Oreochromis niloticus: one gene and its partners. The protein of the gene in region 2 purifies or fractionates together with the protein of the main gene of each other region. This does not show direct contact. Links are inferred from orthologs where the notes say so. Each region holds a gene or a part of one and is shown on either strand. Other genes may lie near its edges. The genes, in order: slc30a5, csgalnact2 and slc30a1a.

Evidence for each region.
Region 1: the proteins of csgalnact2 (region 2) and slc30a5 purify together in Homo sapiens (co-immunoprecipitation; 3 studies listed by BioGRID and IntAct, counting the BioPlex papers as one, with this or other methods). This does not show direct contact. The link is inferred for Oreochromis niloticus from reciprocal best matches to the Homo sapiens genes CSGALNACT2 and SLC30A5.
Region 3: the proteins of csgalnact2 (region 2) and slc30a1a purify together in Homo sapiens (co-immunoprecipitation; 3 studies listed by BioGRID and IntAct, counting the BioPlex papers as one, with this or other methods). This does not show direct contact. The link is inferred for Oreochromis niloticus from reciprocal best matches to the Homo sapiens genes CSGALNACT2 and SLC30A1.

Annotation. Positions count from the first base shown.
Region 1 is NC_031972.2:31,370,422-31,378,393, reverse strand, and holds the start of slc30a5 (proton-coupled zinc antiporter SLC30A5), read right to left. Parts: upstream 3,066-7,972; 5' UTR 2,607-3,065; coding exon 2,536-2,606; intron 1,145-2,535; coding exon 1,022-1,144; intron 711-1,021; coding exon 644-710; intron 409-643; coding exon 323-408; intron 1-322. Other genes in the region: annexin A1-like, read right to left, coding at 4,010-4,066, 4,192-4,314, 4,956-5,014, 5,318-5,413, 6,229-6,322, 6,750-6,886, 7,098-7,188, 7,600-7,713. UniProt on the Homo sapiens protein: Together with SLC30A6 forms a functional proton-coupled zinc ion antiporter mediating zinc entry into the lumen of organelles along the secretory pathway.
Region 2 is NC_031978.2:25,404,188-25,411,896, reverse strand, and holds the start of csgalnact2 (chondroitin sulfate N-acetylgalactosaminyltransferase 2), read left to right. Parts: upstream 1-4,645; 5' UTR 4,646-4,792; intron 4,793-6,118; exon of another isoform or gene 6,119-6,229; 5' UTR 6,230-6,339; intron 6,340-6,470; 5' UTR 6,471-6,672; coding exon 6,673-7,321; intron 7,322-7,709. Other genes in the region: proto-oncogene tyrosine-protein kinase receptor Ret, read left to right, coding at 52-151, 795-942, 1,821-1,978. UniProt on the Homo sapiens protein: Transfers 1,4-N-acetylgalactosamine (GalNAc) from UDP-GalNAc to the non-reducing end of glucuronic acid (GlcUA). Required for addition of the first GalNAc to the core tetrasaccharide linker and for elongation of chondroitin chains.
Region 3 is NC_031980.2:13,547,071-13,555,038, forward strand, and holds the start of slc30a1a (zinc transporter 1a), read right to left. Parts: upstream 3,080-7,968; 5' UTR 2,330-3,079; coding exon 1,756-2,329; intron 1-1,755. Other genes in the region: serine/threonine-protein kinase Nek2, read right to left, coding at 4,983-5,191, 5,469-5,545, 5,682-5,736, 6,434-6,668, 7,596-7,722, 7,823-7,905. UniProt on the Homo sapiens protein: Zinc ion:proton antiporter that could function at the plasma membrane mediating zinc efflux from cells against its electrochemical gradient protecting them from intracellular zinc accumulation and toxicity.

The DNA of each region.
Region 1 (7,972 bases), on a different chromosome or scaffold from region 2:
TACTTGCTTACTACATTAAATTACCACTTTAAAGTAGCTGTGTAAAATGAGATGCTACTGTACTAACTGAAGAAACATGCAAATATAAAGACATAAAGACAGGTGTCAAATAATTCTAGTGGAAATTCTGCCAGGCAAAGCAGGGTTGTGTCCTTGTACACCTCTGGCTGACCTGACTGTCTTGTTTCTTTCAAGAGACCACCAAACAACCATTTTTAGTCCAAAGAAACACAATGAGACTCGGGGAGGGATTTGAACTGTTTTTCCTGCACCTCTAATGCTGCATTTTGTTTTATTTAACTACTGTTTAACTACTTCTTACCTAAGAGGTCCACAAAGAGTTAGGCCGAAGAAGCCCAGGAGGGATATGACACAGCTGAAAACAGCATGCTTTAACAACTTTATCCACTGCAAAGAAAGCAGATTCATCAACAGACATTAACACAATGCACAAGGTGTTTTTTTTCCTTTTGCAAAGCCAGACTTAAAATATCTTAAGCATGACATATATAAGAAAGGCTATAACAAAATCACCAAATATTTAGCAAACATTCACGTGTTCAAGCTAATGAACAACAGGAAAAAGAACAGGAAAATTAGAGGTTGAAAAACTGACAAATTTAAAAGGTAAAGTCCAACAAACCTGTCTTTTTGAGATGACTTTTCCAGATGAAAAAGGTTTTTGGAAAAAAAGCAGAAACACTGCACTCCTAAGACCAAAACAAACAACCAAAAAAAGTATCAGCATGTTTTCACCATCCATAAATACAAAATTAGCAAAAGGTCTTGGTGAATAATCACATTTTGTCTTTTAACTCCACCTCAAAAACCTCAAACTCACTCACTGCAGCTGGTAACACGTTCAGCTGAGATGATGGACATTAAATATCTATTCATCGCTCTTATTGAGCAAGTGTGTGAAGTCAACAAAAATTGACCAGAATAACTGTAATTAAGATTTTTGTCACTACAGAGCAGCCCTAACTAACAATAATACATAAAACAAACAAAGAGTACTTACCCTAATTTCAGTATGAAGATGAACTGAACTATGTGAACCACTTTGAGGATATCGTATGACTCAAAGATCCCAAGAGCTTTGAGGACCTTCGAGATGACCAGCAGAACAATGTACCTGGTTAACCTGTACAAGGAAAGAACACACTACACATTAGTACAGACTGTGGTGATAAGAGTAAAATCAACTGTCATTTACACTGATGCCCCTCCTAAAATCTAACACCATCTCTTTTTGTCTTGACCATATTAGAGGTAGAGACAGGTAAAAAGAAAAACTTTAATTCACTGATGGTTTAAAGAGAGTCTGTGTGTTCCTTTTTTGCATCTCAGACTTTCAACATAACAACACGTCATGCCACCTACAGAAACACTGAAAATTATGCAGTGATTGGATTCATTAGTCATGGGCAGGAGAAGGAGTACAGAGCACTAGTTGAATGATTTTAGACATAGAGAGACTCTCTAAGTCTTTTGTGGTGTGATCTAAGACAGCGGTCCCCAACCCCCGGGCCATGGACTGGTCCGTGAGTCGTTTGGTACTGGGCCGTGAGAGTTGAGACTCGGGTGTGAAATGCATGGTTTTCAGGGTTTTAATCGTTATTTTTTACCGTTTTTTATCATTAACTCTGTTTCCCTGGGTGTTTTCCTGTGTTATTATTACATCTTTTTTTGTACCGGTACTGGTTTTATGCTGTTTCTGTATTTATCTGCGATACTTTAAAGGCCGGTCCGTGAAAATATTGTCAGACATAAACCGGTCCATGGCCCAAAAAAGTTGGGGACCGCTGATCTAGGAGGAGGAATGATCTGCTTTTGAATGTGAATAAGACCAGAGAGATGGTGAACAACTTAAGCTGTGCATATCCTGGGACAGGATGTTGATGTGGTGGAGGAATACAAGTACCCATGTGTCCACATCTACAACAAGATGAACTGGAAGTCAACGACAGAGGGTGTATAGAAGAAGAAAACGATCAAGCTCTATTTCCTAAGCTATAGTTTGAAGATTTTCTCAGTTAGTTGTGGTGAATGGAGTGTAATGTGCTGTGGTCTGCTGGTGATTCAGCATCACAGCCCGTGACACAACAGACTGGATAAACCAATTCTTAGACAACCCCTGATAATTTTTAGATGTCCACTAAAACATAGCATGCTAGAGTCAATCTTGAAGGTTTTTATACCAACATACCGCTCAGATTAAGGGCATAATTAATACTAATTAATTAATAATACTTAATAATAATGTAATGACTGTTAGTTTATAAGTAAATCTGAACACTTTTTGTCATAGTGTTCTTAACTATGGTGTCTGGTTGCAAATATCGGACACAACAAACAATGGGAAATAATAATGGGTTTTCCACTGCTGTGGACAATTTATAGCGTAATCAATTCTTCATAAACGCTAACATATGGACTACAGACTCATGGATGAGATTTGACTGATTCCGTGACATAAAAACAGTTAAATCAGTTTAAACTGACTGAGTTTTTAATGAAGGGTGGAGAACATACCTGGAATCGGGCACTTCGACCATCCCCAGCTGACCCCCTGAGAGCACGTTGCTGCTGTATTTTTCTTCCATTTTCAAGCTCCCCAAACCACCAGCTCCACTCCACCGACAGTTACATCTGTTACTTGTGCATCGTTTACATCGCTGCTGGCGGGAGAGTCAGCTTAAACTACTGTCTGTTCACTGCCGGAGAAAATAAACGGGCTTCTTCTGCGTCCTATTCATCCTCCCGTCAGTGTCTGATGTGTAAACTACAATCAGCTGGTAGCCTTGTTAGCGTATTAGCCGGCTAGCTAGCCACTTTTCCCCCAAAGTTTCCAGTGGCGTCACGTCCTCGGTGTACGGTTCACGTGACCCAGGCGCATGTGGACTCGCGGTCAGAAAAAGATAATGAAAAGTTATGAGTCTGAAGTGGCCGCAATAACTGAGAAAATCCGCAATGACAGGATAAAGAAAATCAAACACCCAAGCTGCCCGTGTTGCCACGACACTTCCGGACACGGTAAACTGTCCACGTCACGTGCAGTTATTCGTCAGCCTTGCGCCTGCGCAGATGATGAGGATAGGGTTTTTTTTAAACTTTATTTAGAAAGTTGTTTTATATACTTTTTATAAACATTTTCGACGTTTCTTTCTTTCTTTCTTTCTAGAGAAACATACAAACATATTTTAAAAAGTTGTCCTGTGTCGTGTCCTCCGTTTATGCTGTGTGCTCCTCTGCTTCGCCTGTTCGGTTTGTTTTTCTTCTACTCTGTATGTTTTTGTTTCTCCTGTGGGTTTCCAGCAATGAGTTTTGAGTTCATATTTTGTCTCCTGGGAGACGTAAACCAAGTGCTGCTATCTGGGACCAAATGCTGCTTACCACTCAGTGTTATGAGCAATTTTTTAACCAGATGCAAAACATACCACATTTCTTTTCAGTCCTTTCAAATAAAAGTCTCATACATTTTGGCATTGGAGATTTGGGTTTTTTTTGTTGTTGTTTGTTGTTGTTTTTTGTTGTTGTTGTTTTTAAAAAAGCATTTTGTGTTTTCAAAGCACTAAAAAAAATGTGCATGATATTAACCAATTCAAAACTTTATTTTAACCCTAGATGGTTTTGCCAGTAGGTGGAGGCTATGGGCTTATGTAATATAAAAGCCTTACTTCTGATACAAAGTAAAGATTTTGAAGATTAAATAGAAAATACTGTACTTGATTTCCCATTTTATCTTCTGCATTTCCAATAACCAAATATATTTTAATATACATTTCTACAACTTCCTCATACGTTATCTTTCAAAAGACATTAAAAGAAAAAGAAGAAATACATTTTGCCAGAAAGAAGGCATGAAATGCTTGGTGCTGGAATAACTTCTTTATTAAAGTTTAATCTCAAAAGAACAGAGTAGTCATGCATTTCAGAGTTAAAGCTGTGAGTATTTAGTGGAATAAGTTGGTCTCGGTTTCCAGAGTAAAATGGTAACAGATGAAGTTCAAAAAGCTCCACACAGGCTAAGCAGGACTTTCCGATAGTGCTCCTTGGTGTCTTTCTGTGGAACAAAGATATTATTAGCTGAAATATTCAGATACTGTATGCTGTCATTTGAGTTCACAATTAGTAAAAGCAACATAATAACAATGGGTTTTTTGTGTTTTGCTTTTTTTTTTTTTTTACCTCTATGTCATCATTTAGGGATCTTTGGTGACAGTTCCAGTATACCTCCTTGATCTTCTTGAGGTCGACCTCAGAGCGACTCACCAGTATCCTGTTGAGAGTTTTCTCACACGTGCCTGGTTTCTGTGAGAGCAGAGCAAAGTTTTGGTTATTGAATACTGTAAAAAATAATCTAAAAGGTTATGCTGTACAGACGTTATGTTGGCGTTAAGCTCCAAACACTTATTCAAGAGTTAACCTTTCAGTGTTTTGGGTGGCCAAGAGTACGGACTCCTTCAGCAACTCGCGGTGTTCCTGTAGCTGTGCAGTATCCTAACACAACTAAATAGTATTTACAAGTACTCTCAACTGTCTGAGGCAAAAGTCTAAGCCATTCATCGTGGCATTTTCTAAATGCCATTTGTTAAACTAAGGTTATATAAAGTAAATTTAAAACAAACTAGTGCTGTTATTTGGTATGCTGTTAAGTACTGTATACTTAATATAGCTTAAGTCTTTAAGGGGACTTAATTTTTGAGGGAACAAGTAAGTGAAGTAAGTAAATAAGTGAAAAAGTGAATCTGTTTTGCAATGTAGATACTGCAGAAGTGCTCAGTTTCAAACTGCTTGAACAGTTTAAGACATCCAGCCTACTCACAGACTTGAACCTTCCTTTTAAAATACATAAATCAATGTACATTTATCTGAATGGATGAATACACACACAAGCGCACACACACACACACACACACACACACACACACACGGAAAAAAAAAATACACACCTCTAAAGCCTTAACAAGCTTCTGGGCAAAGACAGCTGGTGTGTTCCAGGCATATTTTGCTATGGACATCAAAGAGAGATAAACAGTTACAAAATGATCTCAAGTTGAGTCCAGATGCTACCTCACAGCTGTGTTATAGCCCATACCGTGGAAATCTGTTTTCAGGTTATAATCAATCTTAAATATTTCCTGATCTAAATGTACACAAGACGTGCTATGGCATCACATTTGTGATACACATTTCCTGCTCACGAGAGGATGGATTTCATCACTCGCACGTCCTTTGACCTCAGCCCACCCCCACCTTGAACAGAAAATAAAATGAAAACTACATAATCTGATGAGGACAAACATCAACTTACCAAGGTCGATGAGACAATTTTCAGTGTCTCCTTTCAGCTCCTTTTTCAGCACTGTGGGTAATTTGACGTCCGTTTGTTTGCTATATGCCTCCAATACTAACAGGTAAACAGACAAACAGGTAATTCTGGGTTATTAGACCAAATCCAAATATGTTCTTAAGGCTATGCAGCATATTTAATTAGCAGCTGAGGAAATAAATAGGTTTTAAAATATTTATAAACATAAACATTCAGATTTTAGTGAACAGTGAAACATTAGACTGAAGTTCTAAAAAAGAAGAAAGCAAATACCGCATTACTTCACCCAACAGCAGCTTCGATTGGAAATTTATGCGATTGTACGACAGATTCCAGGATCATCAGTTCAAACAACTCTATGCAAATACAACTTATTCAGAAGGGTCACCATTTTGCTGAGGTTTGGAAGAAGACCTTCAAGTTCAACTGAAATTTACAGCTGCCCACATGGAAGCGCTAAATGCCTTCTCAAGAAAGGTTTCATGGTCTGATGAGACAAAATTGAGCTATTTGGCCACAGTGACAGGAGGTATGTTTGGAAGAGTATAGCTGAGGCTTTCAAACCTAAGAAAACTGCACCAAGTGTCAAGCACAGCAGTGGTAGCATCAAGCTCTGGGACTGTTTTGCTGCTACTGATACATACATTGCACAAAGTGGGGTGGATAATTAAGAAGAAGGACTAGTTCCAAATTCCTCAGCTTTAAATAGTAAACAGACTTCATAACTCACTTAAAATCCAGACTGACTTTGACTCTGTATTGTTCTCACACTGCTGGGTGTGTTTCACCTCCTACCTGCAAGAGTGTGGTTCCACCTGTTTTTCTAGATGTACGTTGTGTCTAATGAGTCAAACCCAACCAAGAAGAAGTGTTCAGACTTTTCAAGAACTCACCTTTTCGGAGGTGAGGATAGCTGCGCTTGGTCATCAAGTCAATGAAGGTGGACACGTTGAATTTGCTGCCCTGCTCACATAATGTCAGCAGCGTCTACAGACAGACAAAAAAATGGATGATAATCATAATGACTTATACTTAACTGCAGTTCCTCTAGTGGCCACATGAGACTGGCTGCAAAAGTCAGCTACTGACTTCCACGGTAAAGTCCCTAGAATTACTACACTAATAAACATATTTACAGCCTGATACAAAGGACTGCTTTATTAGTTTGGTACTTAGCAGATAAAGCACAGTTTATGGGTGTAGATTGCTAACCAAGTGTGCTAATGTCCACCAACAACATGTTTGAATTAATGACCATCTTTTATACCCTCTGTGATTGTTACATTATGTGCACAAGAGAAACTAGTCCATATTTGGCCAAACGCCACAGATAGGAACCATCAAAACATCTTCTCACATAATTTGGTGACAACATAAAGCAAAATAGTTTAAGATTTTGGTTACATGAATTTACCTTTGTGTCTTTTGAAACAAGATCATTGTCTACGCGAGTGCTCTCATCTCTACCTCCACTTAGTAATTCCAGGAGGATCTTGGTGTAGTTGCCACTGGTCTCATTTTTAATAACTTCTTCCAGCTCTGTTTTGTACTCTGAGGAATCAGAAGAATTTCAGAATAATGGTAACAGTTTACAACAATATGATGGCCAAATGTGACTACAATAAGTCTAGCTTGCTAGCAGCTACAGACACTGGAGACACTTATGAGTGTCAGCTAGATATCTAAGATGTTGTATAAAATTCAATCTTAGTTCAGTAAACCCAAACAACAACCATGTGATATCACATGACTGTGATAAAACCTTGTTTGAAGGCCTTCTTGATCTCTTGAATCTCTTGGTTTGTTCTCGTTGCCAAAATCTCAGTCAGAACTTCCTCATCTGTGCCCATACCCTGTTGGATAAATCAAATAACAAAAATAATAAAATCTATAAACAGAAAGAAAAAAATATTTATTTAAATATCCCTCAAACAGAATTACAACTAAGTAGTTTTTTTATAACTTATTCTGATCAATATGTTTAGCTATTCCTTAACATTAGCATAAAAATATCCTTCAGTTCAAACTATGGTTCAGTGTGCTGCTGGGAGGGTTCTTGGCCCATACTGAACCCACTAGCAAATTTGTGATCACCATTTAATTCAGTTCATAGTAACACAACCTAAATGATAAACTTAGTCTAAATACGTAACCTCTTAATGAACTGAAAAAAAATTAAAACTATAACACTGCTTAATGAATTAAAACAAAAGAAGTAATATTGCCCCAAATCAAAGGTTTAGTACATAAACCACAGATCCTACCTTTGTGGCTTTCCTAAGTTCGTAGGCATCATAGTGAGCTGGTGTCATGAGCAGTCCCAGACAGATGACCTCCAAGTGTGCTGTCAGAACTGCTTTCAAATCGTCAGCCAGCTTCTGCAACACACAAGCATGATCTACATGAAGGACTACTATTCACTGTAATCATCTTTGAGCTTAAATTAAACATATGAAGGTTATCTTTCTATATGAACACTGCCTTTTTAGACCAATTGTGACTCAGTTATATGGTTGTCCAAAAATAATACAGATTTTTTTTGCATTCAGTGACAGATACCAAGGGTTCAAGCCCCTCAACATCTAGAGAACCACTTTCAATTGAAAGTTGCCTGGTGGTGGGCAATCTGTCTCTTGC
Region 2 (7,709 bases):
TAAGCCTCTGAATTACTTTTTAGAGTGTTGAAAGGTGCTCCTCTTTTCAAGGTATAACCTCATGCTCCGATGCTGGAAGCAAGAACCAGACAAGAGGCCGACATTTGCAGACATCAGCAAAGAACTGGAGAAGATGATGGTGAAAAGTCGGGTATGTTGAAGCTATAAAATACCTTGTAGTACTTTATTTGTTTTCCTCCCCGGCAAGGAAGCGGGGGAGCTATAAATCAGCCTCTTTCTGTGTGTTACTGGCGCGATTTTGACAACACTTCAGTGATGATCTGACAGATACAAGTTTGAGGGGTTTTATTTTTCCACTTTACGCTCCTTTCAGATTTGGAGCTAGTCTAAAATAAGCAGTGTATCATTTTTTAAGGACAGCATGTGCTTTGTCCAGCACACACACAGACACATGCTGTGTTATGCTGTATGAACTGTCACTCTCCCCAAAACTCCTAAGATACCATAATTAGTGTTTGAAGAGCAATCCTAAATGTGGCCTTGGGCAGTGTAATCACAGAGCATGCCAGTCAGGCTCCTGCTGCAGAAGTGAGGCTAAATATAGAGCGTTTGAGCAGATGGGAATGCAGGCATCCTATAACGCAGAGGGCTCGTTCTTCACTGTTATCAATACCAGATAATGAGCAAGACGCTGGATGCGGTAAAGAGAACAATTTGGCAGAAATGTCTGCTGGAGCTTGCAGTCAGTGCACGGGTCACTCGTCCGACCTTTGCATGCTACAATCCCCCTCCTCCTTAATCAGCCTAATCACACCCTCATCTGCTCTTGTCAGGATTACCTGGATCTGGCGGCGTCCACTCCAGCCGATGCCCTGCTGTACGACGACGCCCTCTCTGAAGAGGACACACCACTAGTGGACTGTAATAACGCCCCTCTCCCTCGAACCCTCCCCTCCACATGGATTGAAAACAAGCTCTATGGTAGAATCTCCCATGCATTTACTCGATTTTAGAAACAGGACACACTACACAAGCTCTCTTTTTTGGCAAGTTGTGATTGGCTTTTTTTTTTTTTTTCCCGTAGTCAAGTGTGTGTGACTGTGATCTAGGCATGCCTTTCGCTAATGCTGACATAGCTCCCATTTCATCGTAAATGAGAGGCTCAGCTAAAAAAAAAAAAAAAAAAGCTCCTGTGTCTTGACTTTTTTTTTTGTTTTATTCGGACCTGCTTCTAATGTACACAAGCACTGACCAAAAATTGCTATATTTGTAAATATTGAATATAAATACCCTTCATTCTTATTTAAAATCCACTCCTCATACTCATGCTTCATCTGCATTTTTAATTTGTAAATAGTTTTGTTTTTTTCCCCCATTCATTTCCACATTGTCCTCATCTCGTCATTTATTTGCACTGGAGGAAACGGTGTGTAACATTTGAAACAGGTCCTCACTGATTCAATCACTCATTGTGGTTTGAATTTCAGATTGTGATAAATTTCCTGTCTTTCTAATGTACATTAGCTCTTAATCCATTATGATGAACAGAGAAACAGTAAGGCTTTTGAATGCAACTCTCAGTTGACACTGATTACAAGTAGACAACATGTTGCATATTGCCCCAAGCGAAATGTAGGGGCAATAGTAACAATGTAGGCTTAATAAATGACAAAAAAAAAAAAAAAATTAACGAATTACATTATCATTTATTCTGTTGCATATACAATACAAAGCCATAACTTTACACTTCTTAAAATCAGATCAGGATTTGTTTTGGAGAGTTTTGTTTGAGAACCTTACTGTCTGCACGCTGTTTTTCTTTCACTGAGTGCAGAAAAATGATGTGTTCTCGTTTTTAGGCATGTCATACCCCAACTGGCCCGAGACGAGCCCGGTACTGCTCAACAGACATGATGCCACTAATCCGGTCTTTACAAGATATGCCAATGATAGTGTTTATGCAAACTGGATGGCTTTGCCTTCACCCGCAAAAGCTGTGGACAAGCTTGATAGCTAAAGACAGACCGACCCTGTAGAAAAGACGACTAAGTGGTATAGATGTGTATATTTCTGTAAGACTGTACATAAACGATCTGATGCTAAAGTTGGTTCCCTTTTATTTCTGTTGCACGGGTAAGCAACCTTTCCGACTGGGGTCTTTTTGCTGCGAAACCGGCTGGACCAACATAGACCATGCTTCACTCAGCTCTTCAGTATGTTAATTATTATTACCTCACTGGTTATGTCGGCCAAACTGTATCACTGCATGACTATTGTACCAGATTGTATGTCAGTGTCAATGTCTTTTAAGTGCCTGTGCTGCTTCTACAATAGCTTCCAAATGTTCATGTGTGACTTTGAAGTTTCAAGCCCAGGAATTAAAGGGGACGCCTTTACCATCACCTGTTGTAGAAAGCTGGGATTGAGTGGACGAAAACGAAATGCTGAACTTATTCTGAAAATTAAAAAAAAAAAAAAAGTTTCTACTTTAGAGGATTGTGCTCCTCGAAATGTCAAAGACCCTTTATTTTGTGTTTTTCCCACGAGATGTCTTGAAACTGGTCTCGCCAAAGAAAAGTAAAGCAGACATGTTCAGTGAATGGTTTTCTTACTTTTGCTCTTGTTTTTTCACATTGAAAACATCATCTTTTGAATGCCACTCCAGTGAAAGGACACGAGGATTAATGTAGACTTAATGTTATAGTTCACATTGTCCTTCACTGTAATGGCAGCCTTTGTGGAAAAATATGATTCTGTAAACCAACTCGTGTCCTTGCTGTTATGTTGTTATTATTTGTTATGTTCCAGTTATTAATAAATATTAAAAAATGTACAATGTCTGTTCCCCTTATATCTGTGAAAATAATTACAGTATGTTTAGCCAAAGTTCACCCCTCAAATATTATTTGTTAATTATACACAATAGAAAATATTTCTTTCTAAATTAGTATTAAACATTTAGGATGCCTGACCATTGCAAGGATTCTGATACTTTATTTCTATAAGTTTCAACACTGCTTCACATTTCTTTTGATTGTAAGCACATACAGTCACCTGCTACTTCAGTAGCTACACCTGTTCAACTACTTGTTAGCCCATGTATCTAATCAGCCAATCACACATCAGCAACTGAATGCATTTAAGCATGTAGACCCGGTCCAGATGACCTTCAGCTTGACCATCAGAATGACGACTTTGTCAGTGATTTTGAAAGTGGCACGGTTGGTGGCTGGTCTGAGTACTTCAGAAACTAGGAAATTGAGTGGGATTTTCCCCACACAACCAACTCTGAGGTTTACAGAGAATGGTCTGAAAAAGAGAAAATATCCAGTGAGCTGCAGTGGTCTGGATAAAAATGCTTTGAGCTGATGACTCGAAGCTGATAGGAAAACAACAGCAACTCAAATCACTATGCAGAAGAGCATTTCTGAACCCATTGGATGAGAGAAGATTGGATAGTCTGGACATGGTGGTGTAATAGTTTGGGGGATATTTGCTTTGGGCCCCTCAGTACTAACTAAGCATTGTTTAAACACCACAGCCCACCGATTTATTGCTGCTGATCATGTCTATTCCTTTATGACCACAGCGTACACATTTACCAATCGCTGCTTCTAACAGGACAATTTAACATAGGAAAAAGCTCAAATCATCTCAAACTGGTTTGAACATGACAGTGAGTTCACTGTACCCAAATGGCTTTCACAGTCACCCAATGCCACTTCAATAGAGCACCTTTTGTATGTGGTGAAATGGAGAATTCACATCATGGATGTGTAGCGTTATGCTGTTATGTGACTTTGGACAACATCTCTGAGAAGTCTTTCCAAAATTAAGAGTTAAAACAGTTTTGAACTCAAAAGGGAGTCCAAACCAGCCCAGTGAATATATATAATACTGAAAAGCAGATGAAGGTTTTGGTGTTGGAGTTGAAGCACGAAACTAGATCTGTACTTTTTAAAAATCTTTTTAAAGATACCCGATGTGTGTGTGTGTGTGTGTGTGTGTGTGTGTGTGTGTGTGTGTGTGTAACATTAAACGACCCCCTTTACTTTTTTTACACCTACACATAATACTGACTGGTTAGACCCACGTTACAGAAACATCATATGATTAAAATAGAAAGTACAAGGAAACGATTTGTTTATTAAAATAGTTTCTAAGACTATTTTCCGCAGTGATTCTGGCCTTTCAGATAACATCTGTCTTCTTCTCTCCTAATTAAGAAAATGAAAAAATAACGACTATAAACAGAATCCCACGAGAACATTTCCTGGCTTATTTTGTGCACCACAATGAGATCATATCACTTGTTTTCGAACATTAAACAAATTATGTTTCAGTGCTAATTCAATCCAGAGCTGTCAGCTAGTCCATCACCTCAGATAAGAGGTTTGCCTTCTCGGTCTGAACAGTGAAACGGGAAGAAAATACAATAATCTCTTAGAGGGAAGGTTAAATATAGCTTTTTTAAAACAACAGATTAACGTTGTTACGTTATTGGAAGATGCGGTAGTCTGTATGAGAGTTAAAAAAAAAATCATTGGTGTGTTCTAATAATAACAATAATGCCTTTAGAGCTACAATATAATAATAACGTCGTTATTTTAATAAAAATAAACAATATTATGAACCTGGAGGATCGGCGTGTTTGATGACGACACTCGTTAGACACGCTGCGATTGGTTAGTTTTTAACCGGAAGTAGGTTACAACCCACTCTTTTCTCTTTGCTCCGTGGCATTCTGTAACACAACCTACCTACTGCTGCTAGTTTAACACAAAATGCAACAGCTGTAATGAGGGGCAGGAATGGACAAAGACGGGATTAGGTGAGTGAACGTTTGGGGAATGCTATGATTAACAGACAGGCTTTCTAACGGGTGAGAATAAAAACCCGAAAGCGAAGTGAACCTCGGAACATCGCTAAGCTAGCAGCAGAACTGTAGCCATGTCCGGTTCGAATTTTTTCAAAATAAGGGGATGTGCTGCCTGTAATGTCGCAAATTTCAAAAGAATTGAAGGTGCTGAAATTTGCAGATATGCCACTAGGGGAAAAAAATCTAATTATCAGAGGTTTTGGGCTAAGAGTTTTTCTGGAAATATAGCTAACTTTTCTCTGTCGCCATACCAGTAGCTTAATTAGAGTTTGAAAGTCTCCCATCATTAGCATGACTTGGTTCTGTTGTTTTTTAGGCAGTCTGGTGTTACTTTGTCCTTGACTTAAGCTATGTTAAAATCATGCAGTGTCATGTTGACATGCTTTCTGTGAGTCAGCGGATGGTACTAAAGATACTTGTATGTGACGCAAAACGAAAAGACACATTGTGGCAGGGCTGTTAAAGCCCCCCCCCTCCATACTCCACACTCCCCTCCACACACACACACACACACATATACACACACACACACACACACACACACACAAAATCCCCCAAACTGTTTAACAACCACTTTTTAAAATCGGTTCCTCATTTTTGTGACATTTCATCAGCAGAACAGTTTTGCGTTAGACATTCTTTGTGCGAGTAGTTACAATCTGAAAGGCTCATATCTTAGTTGCCTTTCAGCATGTTAATAAGAATCATTAATATTTTATATTTCTGTGTTTGGTGTTAAACATTCAAGATCTCATTTTTAGAAGAAAGCATTAAGGTTAAAAAAATAAATGTACAAAAAAGTATTTTGACAGCTACGGCTTTTAAAACATCAGCACAAGCTCAGTTCCAGTTCTGGCTGGATTCAGAGCCCTGCTGATTTCATTATAGCTGTCTAGAGACTGATTTATATCTGGGTGTGAGAGCCTGAAAACAGTGTTACTTTGTAAGTGTAAGCCTGGAGCTGTGTGGCCTTCAAGAACCTGCTGCACATGGTATCTGGTTGATACGATATTAGGCGTGGAAATTCCTGAAGGCTGGCTTTTTACAAGGGATTCTTGACTGGTGAGCCTTGTGTGACATTTACCCAGCCTGTAATTCAAAAGGTAATCACAAATCGGCCTTGGACGCTGTGTGTGTTTCACTTGTTTTGTCCACTTTCATTCCAAGAAGGTACCTCTCGGAATCTGGAGTGTTTGGTCTTGCCGCTTTGCACAAAGCCCGTGCATTTATTTTGAAGAGAAAAAGGCTACACCGGAAGTCAGCCTGTAGCTAGCTTTCTGTGAAGCTCGCCCACCAGTTTCCTTGTGTGTGCTGTTGTTTGGCTGAGAGCTAGCTGGCGTGTGTTAGCTGTCCAGGTGTAGCTAATCCCTGCTGTCCCTCCTTCCTCAGGTTTAAACGGAATCTTTGAAGTGAAGAAGTCGGATGCATGTTCAACAGAAACTTACTGACTGATGGAAACTGTAGATAGCAGGTTGGTTTATTTGAAAGGTTGCTTAAAGGTAACACATTAAATGTCATTGTATGATTATCTGCTGTTTTGTCATCACTGTTTTTAACAAAAGTCCCTGTATTGGGATCCTGGATTGTGGCTTTTTTTTTTCCTGATTGTGGATTTCTGTGTTTTTAACAGCTGATCGTTTTGTGGATTTACACAGGACCTATGTGTGGAAATACTGATGCATTGGAGCCAAAGAACAAGATCTCTTTATTCCAAAATTACCTACACACCCATGTCTCTAAGATGATGTATAGAAACCTGTTTTAAGTAATGTGAGCAGTCTGGGTGGCGAAGGGAATGCAGGCTTGTCAGCTATAGCTTTTATGAGAACGTGATGCCCAGGCGGGGGTTGCCACTCCAGGGTCGGGTCCGCTGGCTCTTCCTGGGTCTTTTTCTGCTGCTGGTGTTGCTGCTGTTTGCATACCTGCTGGAGTGCACTCCACCAGCAGACGTCAGCCTGATCCTACCGGGCCCTGTAGGAGAGACCTATGGAAAAGAATACTACCAGGCCCTGCTCCAGGAACAGGAGGAGCGCCACCTGAACCGTGCTGCCAGTCTGAAGCGGCAAATTGCCCAGCTTAAGCAGGAATTACAGGAAATGAGCGAGAAGTTGAAAGTTCTCCAAGAGAAAAAAGAGCTTCCAGGAGTTCCGGGTCTGGCCGATAAAGACCAAGAGCCTGGAGATTTGCTGGAGTACTTGCATTCTCAGATCGACAAGGCTGAGGTCAACACTGGAGCTCGCCTACCAAGCGAGTATGCCTTGGTGCCGTTTGAGAGTTTTACTTCTTCCAAGGTGTACCAGCTGGAAATGGGGCTGACGCGGCACCCAGAGGAGAAACCAGTCCGCAAGGACCGCAGGGATGAGCTGGTGGAGGTCATCGAGGCCGCACTAGACATCATCAACAACCCTGACGAGGAGGATGGTGTGGAGGATGATGTGCCAATGCAGAGGCAAACCTACACAGATGGTCACTTTACTGAAGGTGAGACTCTCAGTTAAATTACAGACTAAGAGGTAATGACTGTAGCCAGTGTTCAAAATGAACCTTTTATTAACAATTTCCACTCAGTGAAGAGACTCGTTGAAAAAAAAATTCACCAGCAAAATCTATTTTTAACGATCCAGAATAATAAACTGAGCCTTTGTTCCAAATCTGATTTGGTTAGTACATTTTATTAAGATAAAGGAGCACTGGGTTGCACTGATATACACTATCTGACTAACATTGGCCAATATTGCCTATTGATTGATGTTGGCGTATGACAGTTATCAGATTTAGTGAACAGTCTGTATTTAGTAATATAAATTTTGCACTGGTTAAATGTTCAAATTGTGTGAGCTGCAAGACTTTAACTCTTTACCCTCTGAAA
Region 3 (7,968 bases), on a different chromosome or scaffold from region 2:
GTCATTTAGTATTTAATATAGTAAACCATAATAACACAGTTTAGGTTATCAAATTGTAAGAAATTGCAAGGACTAAGGTAACACAGTCCCTTTGTCTGGACTGACTATGCTTATACCCCACCCCCCCACCCCAAGGGCCCATTCTGAGCATGGGGACGATGCACACTGGACGATTGTTAATCATACACTTAAGACGGGGGAAAAAAATCATGTCACCTGACAACAGAATTCTGTGCATTGTCCTGTTGTTTTTGGTCATGTGATAAGAAAACATGTATTCAGTTTTGAATAACATTAAACCCCACTTTCCAACACTTCGTCAAAAACTCCCAGTGAACCCTATTCGGTTTTGTTTTTCTCCTGGTAAAAACCCTGGATGCCATCAAATGGCAGCCAGCTGTTAAATACGGTACCATTATTAAGAGCGAAAGGGGAAAAGTTCATGTGAAACTACATAACAATGTTGCAGATTTCACTGCTGAAGACTACATCTTGTGACTGAATCTGTGCTATATAACTGCCCAGGGCCACACTCAGGAAAACAACATACCAGATGACAAAAAAAAAAAAAAAAAAAAAAAAAAAAAACCAGCATGCAGGAACCTAAACGCAGCAAAATGCTGCTCAGTAATTCACATTAGGCAAATTCAGTTAGTAATGGCGGGCGGCGTGGCAACACTAAGCTGGGGCAACGGCACCTGAGCAACGGTGGCTCGCTTCCATTCCAGGGACCAAGCTGGTCCATTCATCAGCGGCTAATGGTGTGTCTGGGGCTGTCGGCTCCACGGCTCCACTGATGTATGGCCCAGTAACAGCAATCAGTGCATGGAGGGGCGGGGGATATAACCCCCATTTATTGAAACTGGCAGGGCCTAACAGTGCGGGGGGGGGAGAATAAATGAGCTTCTGTATGTTTAACCCTTCAGTTAGACTGACCAGCAGAAAGGGGCACAGAAGCTCTCCAGGGCTGCTGTGAAACTTTTTAACTGACATGTAGACACGAACAGGAGGTTATCAGTACTTTGAAAACAATCAGCTTGTCTGGTAAGAAGCGTTTAATGTAACAAAAATGTATGCTGGACAAGCTGATTGGCCAGCTGCTGCCCCGCTTTGGCCCTTGACCAGTTTTCCATCCACTCAATACCTTGTAGAAGCACAATTAAATTAAGAAGAAGTTAAAATAAAAGCTGTCTGTATGCAGATGAGTTTGTTTAGCTTCTGATTCTTTGCTGACAGCTGACAGCCAGGTGAGTGTAAAGGGTGGGCACCTACCTACTTCACTGCATTTATTTTTAAGCTTTAGTTACTAATTATTTAGCAGATAAGGTAACTCACTAAGCTCTTCAGGGGGTCACAGTCAGCGTGGAAATTCAGGTAAAAACTGACCATCGAGTTCAGTTTGACTTAACTGTGTCAGTCAGAAACTTCTCGTTATCTTTAATTATAAGCCAGAGTGAAACCCGATTCTTTGCCCGGATATGTCACCAACACGGAGACCATGTTTCCAAGGATAGAATGACCCAACAAATATGAGACGCCAAACATATGTCAAGAAAAAAAAACCCAAAAAACCAATACGGATTAGTCACTTGGGGAGTTGTCAGGGCAGGCTGGAGATAAACTGATGCACTGTTACACAATCTGGAGTGCTAACAGTGAAGATAAAGTCTGGCACATGTATTCAGATTAATGGTGGGACAGTGAGGGTGGACTGTTCATTTCAACACTAAAACACCAACAACTCTTATTGCTCACCATTTCTTGGTCTCCCATCGCCTGGGCTGTTGTGATTTCCTACCAAGTTGTTGGTCTCCTCTCCCGAAGACCCGTTTCCAGCCTTCGAGTTCTTGCTCGTTTTGCCCCGCTTATTCTTACTACCATGAGAGTGCCCTCCGTGGGAGTGTCCGTGGCCTCCGCCCGCGTGGCCGTGGAACAAGCAGAGCCCCAGCAGGTTAACCAGAAGCCCCGCGGCACCGACCCCGGCCACCACTACTGGAGACTCGATCTCGTGGGGCTCGGTGAAACGCTCGACCGCCTCCAGGACGATGGTGAAGCACAGCGCCGTGAGAAAGACGGCGTTGACCAGAGCCCCCATCACCTCCGCTCGGATCCATCCGAAGGTGTTCTTGTTGGTCGCCTGGGTTTTTTCGGCGAACCGGACCGCCACTAGAGCCACGACGAGTGCGATGACATCCGACAGCATATGGAAGGAGTCCGACAGCATTGACAGGGACGAGGTCATCCGACTGACCACCACCTCCACGATGAAAAACCCAAAAGTCAATGATAGCATGCACAGCAGCCGGGCACGATTGGGTTCGCAAGCCATTTTTCCTTCCTCACAGTCGATTCAAGTTTAAGTTAGCGTTGAAGAAATCAGCAGGTTTGAGAAAGACCAAGAAATCCCCACGACATCCGCTGGTTGGCTTTCCCGTTTAACTCCGGGTTGCGTTAAGCTAGCTTGGCTCCCTGTGACAATACGATCGCTGCTAATATCATCCGCGTAAAACACTCTTATTCGGCGACGGCAGCATCACTCGGCTACATCTGAGGACAAACACACACCGAATCAATTCGCGATTAAAAAACGATTCAGCAACCGTATAAATACCAGCACCTTCCTCGCTCGTTTTGCCGACGAGCTCCGCTTTGCAGACGGCTGAAACTTTGCACCCGAGCCGGTAAACTTTCCACACGGAACACGGCACAGAGGGGGACACGCCTACTACGATTTTCGTTGGTCGACGAGCTACAAGGAGGAACGTAATTGGTCACGTTCTGCATCTCTTGCAAGTAGGCGGCGCAAAGAAGCCAAACAACGGCGGTTGCTACGCACGCTAATGGCAAATGTAATATCGCGATGAGGTCCGTAACTGATTCGTAAATCTTGGCGTTTCAGCTGAAACCAGGTGACTGCGAAGAATCCTTTCAGTGCTTTTTAAATGAAACCAAACAATATGTTAAAACCATACAACATTCTCAATATCTAAAAGCTGTCAAAACCATAAACTTATGTTCCCTGTTCAATATCATGTGATTCTTTAATAGACTGTGTCTATTTTGGTTTTTTTATACGAACCCCCTGACATTGTGTTTGCTATTTTGTATTTGCATATCTGTATTTTGTGCTTTGTCAATAAAGCGTATTCAAAAAAAAAAAAAAAGGTGACTGCGAAGAATGACAAAAACTGAGCCTTTACCAGTAACAAACACTTTTTTTACACAATCACTGGTCTTTACTCAGCTTTTAATCACGGAAAATCCCTTAATAAATTTACTGGTGTTCCATCTACATACTGTAATTGCTTCCTTTATTTTATATTTTATTTTCCAAAAGTCCGTATACTTACGCTGTAAAATTAGTTAATTTTACATTAAGTTAAATACAAGCTGCCCCCCCCCCCCCCCCCCAAAAAAAAAAACAACCAAACTAGCAAACAAAAAAAACTCGCTAATCAAGCCAGTAAGCTACCAGCTTCAATGGAAATAATGACAAATGTAACAATAAATTACATCTAATCTGCTACTGACTCAAAGCAAAGGCTTGATTGCAAATTGCACTTGAATCTCTTTTCATGGAAAAGTGATGACCCCTTGTGGGAGCTAGTGTTATATAAAAACAATTCTATTACTGTGAAAATGATCAGCCTGTATATCTATCTCTTTTTTATATACATCTATTGCTACGCCAGTGTGAAAAACCACAGTAGAAATGAGTTTTGGCCCAACTTAGACCCACTACAGTCTGTATACATATGAAATATAGGAGTTGGTTTACAGAGATCCGACTCCACTTGTAAAACAGCCCTGTGATAGACCCCAGGGCAGATTCTTTTTTTCTGGCCGGGCAAACAAATTTATCCCTGTTAAAGTAACATAGACAGCTGTAATGTCTCTAGGCAACAAACAAGAGAAGCCCACATTTCCACACAAACTGAGTGGATAAAGAATTCCTCATTTATCCGTCATTTTTGCTTGTTTATATATCAAGTGCACACATATTAGAGCAGGGGTGGGGAACTCCAGGCCTCAAGGGCTGGTTTCCTGCAGGTTTTAGCTCTCACCCTCAGTCATCACACCTGAATCAAATGATTAGTTCATTACCAGGCCTCTGGAGAACTTCAAGACATGTTGAGGAAGTAATTTGGCCATTTAAATCAGCTGTGATGGATTAAGGACATATCTAAAACCTGCAAGACACCAGCCCTTGAGGCATGGAGTTCCCCCACCCCTGTATCAGGGTATGAGTGCATATTTTCAACAAGTGGTAACAATGTTTCAATCAAAAGACAAACTTCTCTTTGCGTTTTTGTAAGCAGTTCAGAAAGGCTGACTGTGAATGGCCCCACCACACATTTGAAGCCGTGGTAGAAGTGAGGTCACTAATCAGTCAGTTATGCATCATGGATAATCTAAACCCTCTGCACAACTTACTGTACAGGCAGCAGAATATCTTCTCTAACAGGATTCAGCTCCACTGCCACCAGAACACCTCTCAGACCACTTCCTGTTTCCTTCTATAATACCTGTTCTGTTCTATAATACCATATCTGTTTGGCAGATACTAAAATAATTACATCATCATTTCAACTGCTATAAAAAAAAATGCAAAAATTAAAAAAAAAAAAAAATCCCAAATATGGTATAGAACAAGTATTTATCATCACATCATGCCTACTTTAATGTAGTAATGATTACAATCACTTTGTTTATTGGCATCACAGGATCATGTCATTCCACATAGTCTCCCTTCTTCTAGAGATGTCTCTAAAGAATTTATGTCTACAGCCATAAATACAGCAAAAAACTATACACAGTACACTGATAATCACATTAGCTGCCCGTGATAACACACTCACTCATCAGACTAAATAAGACAGGAACACACACATTCACTACACGTCCACAGCTACACATGAACATTTTCATCCAGTTGTTATGACTCCAGGCCTTCAGAAGCTTTCACGGTCACATCTGTGCGATCAGCGCAGGCCGAGGATTTGCCTGCTCTTGAGCTGGCACATCTTCTCCATTTCACTCAGAGCTTGACTCCGCTGGGCCGCTGCCTGCAGCCTCCTGAGCAGCACCAGCTCCTGGGACGGCGTGCTCTGCAGAGCATCGGGCCGCTGGTTCTCTTTGCTCTCACCGGCAAAGTGGACCTTCTTCTTACCCGGAGAGAGGTTCTCCGCATCTAGACCAAAACAGTCGAGTAAACTTGTTAACAAATCACAATCTCAACAGCTGTGATTTTGAAGTGTGTCGTGTGAGCTTTTAGAACTGCACCTTTTTAAAAAATAATTTCTTTATTGTTGTATAAAAAATATTTACAATTTATATAAAAAAATAAATACATTTGATCCAAAGTCATTCACATTGTCGACACATGCGTTAAAACACATGTTAAAAATAAACTGCTCGGCTCTGGTCTTGGTTCAGTAAGTTCAGAAGTCTTCGCTGGATTCCCATACCTATGTCTTTGTCATTGATCGGTGTCAGGTCCCTGTGGTGCTGTAGGCGGCTGTAATTTTTCAGCAAACTCTCCACTCTGAAACGGTCGATTAAAAATAAAGGGGAAAAAATAAAAATCAGCTGGAAAGACCGCCAAAGAATGGTTAGAATGGAAAAAAAAAAAAAAAAAAAAAAGAATCGCTTAAATCGTTTCCATCTTAAAAGTTTTTTACCGTGCGAGCTTCTCATTTGCAAGTCGTTCACGAACACACAGCTCCTGCTCTCTTCCTGTCATTAAAAGACAAAAATGGACAGATTCAGTTTGGGAATTTATCCCTCACTTTTAAAGAAAGTACACCCTCTTTCAAGTCTAAACATCGAGACATCCTCAGAGGGTCTTAAAAAAAATAAAAAAAAAAAAATCAGGTAATATTTAAAAGTTTTATTATGTCTTCACAATCTTAGCATTAAAAGAGGAGGCATTTTATTTTTACCATAGCTGTATGTGTGACTAACAGTCTTTTATTTGGACATATTTCTGGGTACACACACTTTTACACTGCGGTGTGTAATCTCCACTGTCAGCCAGGAGCTGTAGGTGTAGAAGTAGGTCATCGTTCGGTTGCAACACTCCAAGCAACATGAACAAACCTGTTCCATCCACACAGGTTTCTTCAACTACACTTCCACCCTCTAAACAAGATGTAACTAGTACTTTCTAGGGTATTACTCAACTTTACTTATTGCTGCCAATGTGAAAACAAGTCCATAAACATGAGATAATACTGATGAGTCCTCTTTGCAGAAGAGGATGTTCCTGTTAGGATTAGCCTCTTCAAACTGATGTAAATTAAGTACTTCTCTACTAAAAATACAATCCACAGCTTTTCTAATTTCTCCCAAAATCCAGGCCAGACTACAGCGATACTGACAGACGTAGGCTTGAGCTATGTGCGGCTCAAAGCAGGGCTTAAACAGGTCTTACTCTCCAGCCGCTCCTCACGTTCTTTCAGTGCTGTTTCTCGGTCCCGCAGCGCCTGCTCCTTCAGTCTGAGCTCCGTGGCCGAGGCGGGCGCCGTCTCACCCGGTTTGTGGAGGGGAACGTCAGAATCAGCCGATCTCCTTTGGGGTCGCGACTGTGCCTTCCTCTGCTCCTCAGCAACCGCCTCGCTCAGCAGGCTGCTCTGGAGAATAGATTCTACAGAAGGTCTCAGATAGTCCTGCCAAGAGAAGGGGCCCATAAATGAAACATAAATAGCCTTTTTTCTTCCTGCCAATGTGGTGCTAGTGTAGCTGCCAGTGGTTCCATTTTGAGAACCAGTCCCCATTTCCATAAGTTTGAGGTCCAGTTATTATGTAATGCTGCTAGCAGAGCAGATATCTGATGGCACTTTAAGGGTGGAAATGTTTGGAAACCATTCCAGATCAGACACCAGCATCACGTCGGTGCAAAACCATAGACCGCATAAAAGATGGATGTAGCCACCATGACATCAAATTTTAAAGCCTTGAGCTCAATGTTTTCACTGTCACAGCTTGTCTATCCAGGGTGTGTGTGTACCCCGGATAAACCTCTTTTCTGATTCTACTCCAGGGCAGCTGTAGCTTGGGAGGTAAAGCTACAGCTGCCCTATTTGTAGAGTGGGTGGTTTGATCTTGGCTGCTGCAATCCACATGTCAAGTGTCCTTGGACAAGATACTGAACAACAAATTGGCCCAGTTCAGGATCTACCGGAGAGTGAGCAAGCGTGAGAAAGTTAGAAAAAGCACCTAAAGGCACCGTATGAATGTGTGTGAGAATGGGTGAATGTGGGTGGTGGTAAAAAGTGCTTAGAGTTCTCATTTAACTAGAATTTATAAAATTAACTTCACGTTTTATTCAATGACCTAAAACTAGCACTTGACTCCATAAAGTCATGAGGAAAGTGTTTAGGGAGGGAGCTGAGGGCCAGTTTGCCATGGACAGCACTAAAACTAGAGCAGTTGCCCCCTGCAGGCTGTTAGAAAGAATGCAAGGTTTGAAGTATTTCTGCACAGGATTCCCTTTTCCAGATGTGGACATGCAGTCCATCTTTTATACCGTCTAAAATAATCCAATAGCTCAGGCACCATATCGTGTAAATTTTAAAAATAAATTCAATTCCAACCTTTAAGTTGAGCATTTTGCCGAGCAGGGTGTTCAGCTCCTCAGAGTACCGGTACGGGATCCTTCTGAACTTCCCCTCTCTGATCTTTTCTGCCAGCTCTTTTTGGTTGTAAGCAGTAAAAGGAGGCCTGGAGAGGAAAACGAAAAATGCAGGAAAAACTGCAAGATCTGCAGCCAAACAGTTTGCAGTGGGAAAATCAGCTAAAGCGGAACAGCTGGAAAACTTACGATAAGGCACAGAGTTCGTAGAGCAGACATCCCAGAGACCAAATATCGGACTTCTCGTTGTATGACATCCGGTTTATTTGTTCCTGACAGAAGAAAAGAGATAGTGTTAAATGCTTATTAAGCTATTTGTCCCTATTTTTTTTTAT